Daphnia pulex: one gene and its partner. Each later gene encodes a partner of the first gene's protein in a complex. Links are inferred from orthologs where the notes say so. Each region holds a gene or a part of one and is shown on either strand. Other genes may lie near its edges.

The links.
Region 2: transcription initiation factor TFIID subunit 1-like (region 1) and transcription initiation factor TFIID subunit 5-like share a complex: the UniProt entries of both Caenorhabditis elegans proteins name them as parts of the TFIID basal transcription factor complex. The link is inferred for Daphnia pulex from reciprocal best matches to the Caenorhabditis elegans genes taf-1 and taf-5.

Annotation. Positions count from the first base shown.
Region 1 is NC_060026.1:11,813,040-11,817,617, forward strand, and holds the end of transcription initiation factor TFIID subunit 1-like, read right to left. Parts: coding exon 4,357-4,578; intron 4,289-4,356; coding exon 4,131-4,288; intron 4,055-4,130; coding exon 2,812-4,054; intron 2,750-2,811; coding exon 2,527-2,749; intron 2,462-2,526; coding exon 1,674-2,461; intron 1,606-1,673; coding exon 1,298-1,605; intron 1,239-1,297; coding exon 836-1,238; 3' UTR 502-835; downstream 1-501. UniProt on the Caenorhabditis elegans protein: The TFIID basal transcription factor complex plays a major role in the initiation of RNA polymerase II (Pol II)-dependent transcription.
Region 2 is NC_060026.1:1,543,875-1,548,184, forward strand, and holds transcription initiation factor TFIID subunit 5-like, read left to right. Parts: upstream 1-1,497; 5' UTR 1,498-1,532; coding exon 1,533-1,715; intron 1,716-1,777; coding exon 1,778-1,969; intron 1,970-2,030; coding exon 2,031-2,233; intron 2,234-2,295; coding exon 2,296-2,492; intron 2,493-2,555; coding exon 2,556-2,757; intron 2,758-2,829; coding exon 2,830-2,949; intron 2,950-3,032; coding exon 3,033-3,624; intron 3,625-3,686; coding exon 3,687-4,088; 3' UTR 4,089-4,156; downstream 4,157-4,310. UniProt on the Caenorhabditis elegans protein: The TFIID basal transcription factor complex plays a major role in the initiation of RNA polymerase II (Pol II)-dependent transcription.

The DNA of each region.
Region 1 (4,578 bases):
ATCCATTGAAAATGACTGAATTTTCTCCGGCGGATGCATGTGTACGGTTTCCTGTGCGGTTCTCTTTTATTTTTTTAAAAAATAAGACAAACGAATAGAATTTTATTTCCTACTTTTTTGTTAAACCACTTCAAAAAGTCCATAACTGAAGAAGAGAAAGATGGATCGGATGTTTATCGCATTCCTATGACCCCGTCAACGCGAACTGCGTTTCATTTTTCTTCTTTTTCAAAGAAAAATCTAAAAAAAACATTTCCAATAAATCGTTGGGTAGGAATCCAACAGATGGCATTGAAACTCGCCATGTTTTTAATGCGCAATTTTCTTGGCATTGGCAATCGAAAATGATCGCCAGTGGGGGGGAAACAACAAAAAAGAAATGGAAGAAAGGGAATGATCAAAAGAATGTCAGTAGCGTTCAAATCAGAAAAGGCTTGAGGCGCACGCACCAACTCGCGCTGAGTCATCACCCGCAAACGCATTCTTCCCCGTCGACCGGAATTTAAAATGTAAAACATTTCTGTATTGAGAAATAATGCTCCGAGCGTTCGCATTGCCTCACTCTGTGGCATCCGCGCACCCAGCAAATCAACTTTGACGTTTACAACACACACGTACACAAAAGAGTGTCAAAAAACACCCCACAAAATCGGATGGAGGGAAAAGAATCATGATCAACCGCAACAACAACAAGTTGTTGCGGTTCCAACCCCCCATGAAAATGCTAATTAGAAAAAAGAAGATTGTGTTTTTAAACATGATGGGCAATTAATATAACGGGCGATCGAGGCACAGACGCACTTAAAACATTTGTAAATTGTTTAGTTTGGTTTTTTTAGAACCACAAACCTCCGTCGTCATCCTCATCACGGGATGAATTTGGGCGGTTCGAGTGGTGACGACTACGACCTTTGTTATTGGCGCTGGCAGCAACGGGTTGGTCATCGCGAATTTCACCTTCTTCCTCCGACTCGCTGACTTGCAAATCGTCGCGAATGTCCTCGTCTTTACTGGGCCCGCACGAAAAGAATTCCGCTTCCGGATCGTAATTGGCGTCCACGTCCACCACGTCCATGGCGACCTCTTCCAACTCTTCGTCGTCGTCATCCTCGTCTTCGTCCTCCTCTTTTTCACTGGCCGAGTACTGAAGGTCGTCCAGCACGTCGGTTGCCTTCCGCTTAGATCCGCGTGGAGACGAGAAACTGACCCGCGGAGAATTTCCCTTTGGAGTCGGTGACCTGTTGATAAAAATGACATTAATTGATGACAAATAATTCCGGATGAGAAAATATGATACCCTTTGTTTTTGGCTGGACGGCCTCGCTTGCCCTTGGGTTTCACTGCGCCGGAAGGCCCAGGTTGAGCGAAATTATTCGAGGCCGATTTCCTGCTTTTCTTAGTCGGCCGGACAGGCGATTCGGCTTCGGGATCCCATTCGTCCTCACCGGGACGATCTGGCGTTTCCATCATGTCCATCGACTCCATCATGTACTCATCCTCGTAACCTTCTTCACCCACGTCGAGGAAATCGTTTTCGGCTTGCTCCATGGCCTTCTTCTGAGCAATGCGGATATTACTCTCCAATTGAGTCAGGTGGTCGTCGTACTGCGACGTAATAAAATAGAAAGGGAAAATTAGCATTTCTTGAAAAGAACCAAAATGGATGACATTACCTCTTCGAGAGTATCTCGACAAATACGTCCAAGGGCACGGGCCTTCTCTGTAAACTGCGACTCCTCTCCGTTGTAGGCGATGCTGTTCTCCAGGATCAGGTCGACGTCGTAGAGGAACTCTTCGCGGTTGTGGTACTTGTGCGCTTTGACTTTCTTGGCCACCGTTTCCAAATCCATCGGATTTTTGACGATGGTGTAGTAATCTTTGACGAATTTCTTGTTGACGGGCTTGAGGAACGGCCAGGCCTCTGGCAGAGGCTTCAACTTTCCGTTGATGATGTTGTCGAGGACGTAGGAAAAGGCCACCTGATCGTCGTCATCCAGCAACGGATTGATGGCCTTTTCCAGCCTCATGAACCTCTCTTCCTTCTGGGAAAGCCTTTCGATGCAGAGATCCAGCATCCGCTTGGCAGCTGTGGTCAAAATGCTTTTATCTCCATTATACAACGTGGAATTCTCCAGGATGAGGTTGACGTCGGACAGGAAATCCTCACGGCTCTGGTATCGTTTTTGCCGGATGTTTTCCCGGATCGTCTGAAGGTCCATAGGTCGAGTAACGATCCGGTAATAATCCGGCACTGTTTTGCTGCTCACCGGGAACAGGAAAGGCTGGACATCGGGTAATTCCCTCATCTCATTGAGGATTTCCTCCAACATGGTGGAAAGTGTCACGACAGGGTCAGTCCTTCGTCGATTGGCCGTCTTAGTTGTATGTCTGCTCAGGTAGTCGCAATGCGTCACTGTACCTGCTCGCCTTCTCTTTCGACCCGACATGGCTTCCTTGGGCACTGTGAACAATCAAAAATCAATGTCAGGTAATCCCCCCCAAATATAAAATCAATAATAAACAAACCTTTAAGAACTAGCGAACGTCGCTTGATTTCCTCGGCGTGTTTGACCAGCTTGCCGGACAATTTCACTTTGGTACCGTCGACATTGACCAATTCTTCATCTTCGCTAAAGATTTGCTTTTCAATTTCCTCCTCTTGATCCTCCGTCATGGCCACAACCATCGGTGGCAACGGGGTGGTGTTTTGATAGAGCGGGCAAGCTTTATTGGTCCTCATGTGACCCACCTATCGATACATTAGCATAATTAATAAACAGAAACAAGGCCGTTAATTACAAGGAAAGTTACCTGTCCGCAGGCACCGCATTTCATTTTCAAATCGGGCTTCATCTTGACTTTACGACGGCGATTGTTAACGATGCCTAATTTCTCTTTTTCTTGATTGCGTTTGAGTCGTCTGAGTTGCTCCTGGATTCGACGTTTCTCACGTTTCATTTCCTCCTTTTGGTGCTCGTCGGGCGTGGCAAACTGTTTGATGAAGGCGTCATCTTTGGTCGTTCGTATTCGGACGTAAGTGTCGATGATGGCCGGTTTGCGAACCAATTCAACGCGGGTGTAGTCTTTGCCCTCGGCGTTTTTGAAGGTCCGGAAAATTTTGAGCACTCGACCGGCCTGTCCGGCTCCTGCCAGCGGCGGTTGAGATGAACTGTCTTCTTCGTCCAGTCCTACACGGCTCTTATCTTTCTTCATGGAGCCCGATCCTTCGCCGAGGATCATCTTTTGCAATTCACGACGCTCCTGTTCTTCCCGCTCTCGGCTCAACTGGCTGGACGTCTTTTTATTGGCCAGCATGTTTTCAATGTTTTTACCCATTTCTTCGATATCAGAAATGTCTTCCTCCTCTTCGCTTTCGCCTTCGTCGGTGGACAAAACTTCGTTCGAGGCCAGGACTCGGTTTTGAAGATCAAAAATGCGTTGACACTCCTCCTTGTATCGCTCCTGATGCTCGGCAATGGAGAAGCGATTACCACGGGAGAATTTGTCCATGCCTTCCTCGCCGGCCTTGGCCTTTTCGGTGGAAAGTGTTCGGACGACGTCAATAACTTCCCAGCGGGAGAGTTTCTTGATTTCCTCCTCAGGTACGCCGTGTTTCCTCAAAATTGCTTTTGCGTTGTTGAGTGACAATCGACGCAAATCGGCGTCGGTGCCCGTCACAATACGTTTAGGTTGAGATTCCAGCTCTTCCTTGTTGATGGTCGGTTTGTTGGGAACGCGGACGTAGGAGAAACCTTCGCCACAACCGGTAGGATCTGCCGGACCTGTTAATTGCAGGAGACATTTGTTTTTCATGGCCTGGACGTAGGCGCGGGTGGTGTTCCATGGGGCTACTTTGACTTCGTCGTCCATTTTCAGTTGCTGGTCTTCGTCGTCATCCTGCTCAGGTGCGAAAAGGAATTTCTCACCGTAACCGGCGTCTTTCAAACGCTGTTCGGCCGCGATCATACTGAAATAGGCGCAACATTGCTCCGGCGACACTAACGCTCGAAGCTCTTCTTCCGAAGGTAACCGGAAATCCGGCCGCAATACCCACCTGTTGAATTTGTCGGTAACCAAAAATGAGCAATTTGGACATCCGTTGGAGTATGAATTATTATACTACGAAATACCAATTGGAGTCGACTCCTGTTCGCTTAAAGTCCGCGCATAGTTTCAACCGTTTGCGGATACTGCTTTCGGAATGTGCTGGGAAAGCTCGTTTAATGTCATCCATGCGGATACGACGTGGAGTGTCGGGGCTCTTCCAAAACAGTCGGTAGATAAAGACCTGAATTAAAATAAACATTTTGTTTGGATGTTTCATAGAAGACTATTAGAATGACTTTAGTTGAATACTTGTAGGAAATCGCGGGTAAAGTTGTTGGCTCTTTTAGAATTCGGACCGGGCACTTCGTACAGTGGACATTCCTGACCGACAGTGTAGAATGCATCGACTTCACGGACATGGTACGTTGTCCGCGTTCGAATTACTAGGAAATCCGTCGACGGCAATTGATGTTCGTAGATTGGTGCACGGTACATGTTGTTTTCAATAGCCTGGATGGACTGGCCCGGATG
Region 2 (4,310 bases), about 10 Mb from region 1:
ATAGTTACAACCTTTTTTGGGGATTATCCGTTGTGTCGATCGTTTATTTTTTAATTTTTTTTTTATTCAAACGGAGCAGCGACATTCCAAATTAAATGGCGAATTTGAATTGGAAAAGAAAACAAGGCAAGGGTTTACAAAAAATAATGGCCTGACTCTGTATTATTAAATCTCCCGACCATCATCAACCATGTTTTTTTTCTATTTTGGTTTTTACATAACACACACCTTTTTTCCCCCCACGTTTTTACTTCAAACAAACTTGTGTGATGGTTCTTTTTTCTCGTGTGTAGAATTTCTTCCCCCCGTTTCTTTTGTGTATACTCGAACCTCCCCCCCGCCCTTCAAAACTTTTGTATATCAAGCTTTGTGAAACCTTGATTACCTTTTTTTTTTTTTATATACAAATCAATGTAGGTGTTCCACACATTTCTTCTCTATATACCTATTTAGCTTTTTCTCTCCTTGATCATGATCGTGGCCCTCCCAATATCTTTCGAATAATGTCCTAACTTGGATATCGTGTAAGTAACGCTGCTATATCAGGAAATGTACATTTCTTGCCTTGCCCGTTGATTTCATTTCATTCTTTCTTTAATTGGCTTTACTGATACTGATAAGCCTTTGCACTTTGGAAGTTGAAATGAGTGGAGAAATAACGAGAAAAATTTGGATATTCTTGTGAAAAGGCGAATCTATATTGATGCACATGGTACAAATACGAATGACATTTCACAAGAGGTAATTTTTTTTACAGCCAAATTTCAGCAGCTTTTGTCCAAGTGGGAACTCGTGGTGGTAATTAGTTTTCTGGTTCTGGATGACAGCTGACCCAGAATTACCTAGTGAAAGAACAGAACAGTTAGAGACAATTTACACGGCGTCATTAAAACTAGTGAACTTACCTAAGAATCAGACTGCCATTTGCTTCCATGTGACTGCGAGTGGTTGAGAATGGATTTACTTGGAGCGAGCACGCATCTTCCTGCGCTTACGCTTAAGCCTACGCATACGCTTCTTACGCCACTAAAGAAAGAAAGAGCCGGCCATTAGATTCACAAGCCTCGAGACAAGCATCACAGTACACCGATACATGAAACACATAGAATAGGTAGAAAAACGATAATTACCTTAGCTCTCATGATGCAGTCGGTCTCTAAATGAAACAAGGAAAACGAAACAGTCGGTTAGAGATGTTGAAAACGAGGCAATTGTTGGATGATATTGGATTTTGTTAACTCAGTAAAACCAAGAATGAACTTACCTAGGAAAGACTGCAGAGAAGAGTGAGAGAGCCAGTGCCTGATGGTCTCCTACATTGCCTATTTCCGTTTCCACTCCTTTCTTTAAAAATAGTTGAAATATTATATCGTAAAACATATTAAAACCTATATTAATTTGATGCTAGAAAAATTAGCAATTTTATTATGGGTAAAGTATTGTTTTAATTAATATTTTAGTAAATAAATTTGATAACTGGCACAATGCAAACCCGCTGTCGGGGTTGTTTACAACGAAAAAAAAAAGGAAAAATGGAGTTCGATATGAATCAGATATCTCAAACAAGTAATTCAAACGCGAAAATTGAAGCATCTGAAAGTCAAAACAGTGAAGTTCCAAGTGAAAACAGTGCAGTTCAACCTGTAGAACCAGAAAATGTCGACTCCAATACCCTTGCGGCCGTATTACAGTTTCTTCAGAAGCACAACCTGAAAGTAACTGAAAATGACATGATTATTTTTAAATTTCGGCGTCTCATTTATTTACAATGTATTAGGGGACGGCTGATATTTTGAAAAAAGAAGCACGGCTCAAGGAGGATCAATTACGAGATGCACAAGCTCTTCAAGTGGATTCAGAGGCAACAAATTTGCTCTCATCATACAAGAGCGAAGGAGACCCAAATGCCTACGAAAAAGCTTACCTAAGTTACAGGAGATTTGTGGAAAGCTCGCTGGATGTTTATAAAGTATGGTCAAAAGATATTCAACTCAATTTCAAATAATAATTTCAATTTGTTTACTTTTCAGCATGAGCTGTCCCTAGTATTGTACCCTTTATTTGTCCACATGTATTTGGAAATGATTTACAACCAACATGAATCAGAAGCCGCTAAATTTATGGAACGTTTTTCAACAGATCAGGAAGATTATTATCAGGATGATCTTAAAAAAGTTTCTTTTATTACCAAAAAAGAACACATGAAAGGCAGTGATCTCATGGAGAATTTCAAGTAACAAATCACTTTTTTTTTAAATAAAATCGTCAATCATAAAAACTTAAATTGTTAAACAGATCAAGTCAGTTCACCGTTCGAATGTCCCGGGATACTTACTCGGTTTTGAAGCGGTTTTTGCAGGACAAGAACCAATCAATTGTCATGAACGTCATTCAGGAACACTTGTACGTCGACATGTACGAAGGAGTGCCGAGAAATAAAGCCCAAGTTGAATCCACAGCCGGAGCCATGGAAGGCGAGGCCAACAGACAAGGTACACAAATCAAGAGATTAGAAAGAAATCCCCAAAACAATTACCAATTCTTTTCACTTACAGTAAACAAGACCAAAATCTACTATGGTCTGCTCAAAGAGCCCGATATCCAGCTTCCGGTAGTCGAGGAGGAAGAGGACGGAGAACCCGGCGAAGGTGGTGAAAAGCCCAAAAAGAAGAAACCCAAAAAGGATCCGTTGCTCAACAAGAAAGCCAAGAGCGACCCTAATGCTCCACCGGCCAGCCGATTGCCATTACCAGATTTGTAAGATGCAGATGCAGTGAAAAATGGTGTGGAAAAAAAGGAAAATGGTTGAGCTGTGAGTTTCTGTTTCAGGAGAGATATCGACAAACTGGAGAAGGTCAGGGCCCTACGAGAAGCCAGCAAGAGGGTGGCTCTTGGTCCAGACAATTTGCCGTCCATTTGTTTCTACACGATGCTGAATTGCGCGGAAACGTCAGTTATTCTAATTTACCTGATTTTTTCCATTCAATTTGAAATTATAATTTTTTTTCTTTTTCCCTTTTTGTGAATGACAGGGTCACGTGCGTCGAATTCTGCGAGGATTCGTCACTATTAGCCGTAGGGTTTTCCGATTCCATCCTCAAAGTTTGGAGTCTTGTACCCCAGAAACTCCGGGCCATGAAACCGGCCGAGCAATTGGCCGATATCGACAAGGAGGCCGAAGATGTTCTCGTTCGTATGATGGACGACAAGACGGGTGAGACTATGAAAGTCCTTCACGGCCATTGCGGGCCGGTTTACGCTGCCTCGTTCAGTCACGACCGGACGTTACTCTTATCATCGTCGGAAGACGCCACGATCCGGCTGTGGAGTTTGCAGACGTGGACCTGCCTGGTGGTCTATAAAGGCCACATTTACCCCGTGTGGGACGTGAGGTTTTCCCCTCACGGCTACTATTTCTCATCAGTCGGACATGATCGGACTGCCAGACTTTGGGCCACCGATCATCACCAGCCTTTAAGGATCTTTGCCGGCCATTATTCAGACGTTGACGTGGTCCAATTCCATCCCAATTCCAATTACGTCGCCACAGGTTCCAGCGATAGGAGCGTCCGTTTATGGGATTGCGTAACTGGCAACTGTGTCCGGCTAATGACTGGTCATAAAGTAAAAACATTTTCATCCTTTTTATGAGTTTGTTTTTCTTTACAAGTTTTTTGTTTGTGTAGGGAACCGTCTCGGCGTTGTGTTTCTCCACCGACGGCCGTTTTCTGGCATCCGGTGGAGCTGATCAAAAAGTCCTGTTATGGGATCTGGCTCACGGTCACTTATTGGCCGACCTGCCTGGGCACACGATGACAATCTCCAGTTTGGCCTTCAGTCGAGACGGGACCGTGTTCGCCACGTCTTCCCTGGACGGCTCCATCCAACTGTGGGATTTCTTCCGGATGACGGATGAGTCCTCTTTAGAGGACGTCAACATCTCGGGTCACAATCCAGACCTTCTCAAGCGGAGTAACGCCATTGAATCGCTCCGCCTGGCACGTTACCCGACCAAAGCCACTCCTGTCATGTCATTGCATTTCACGCGGAGGAATTTGCTACTCGCTGCCGGCATGTTTGAAGGCTAATCCCTCGATTCACACCAATTTTTAAAAAATAATAATAAGAATTAAAATACATATAACTTTGTCTCTTATTTCCACAGATCCATTTTGTTGTTGTCAAGTCGGGAAAAACCAAATTCTGTCGAGTTGGCTACGTATTTTTCGTAAACGTGCCTAGTGAACCTCGAGACCGCTGTATAAATAGAAGATAATCGACCTGGTTTTTTCCGAGTCGATCTAGAAGTT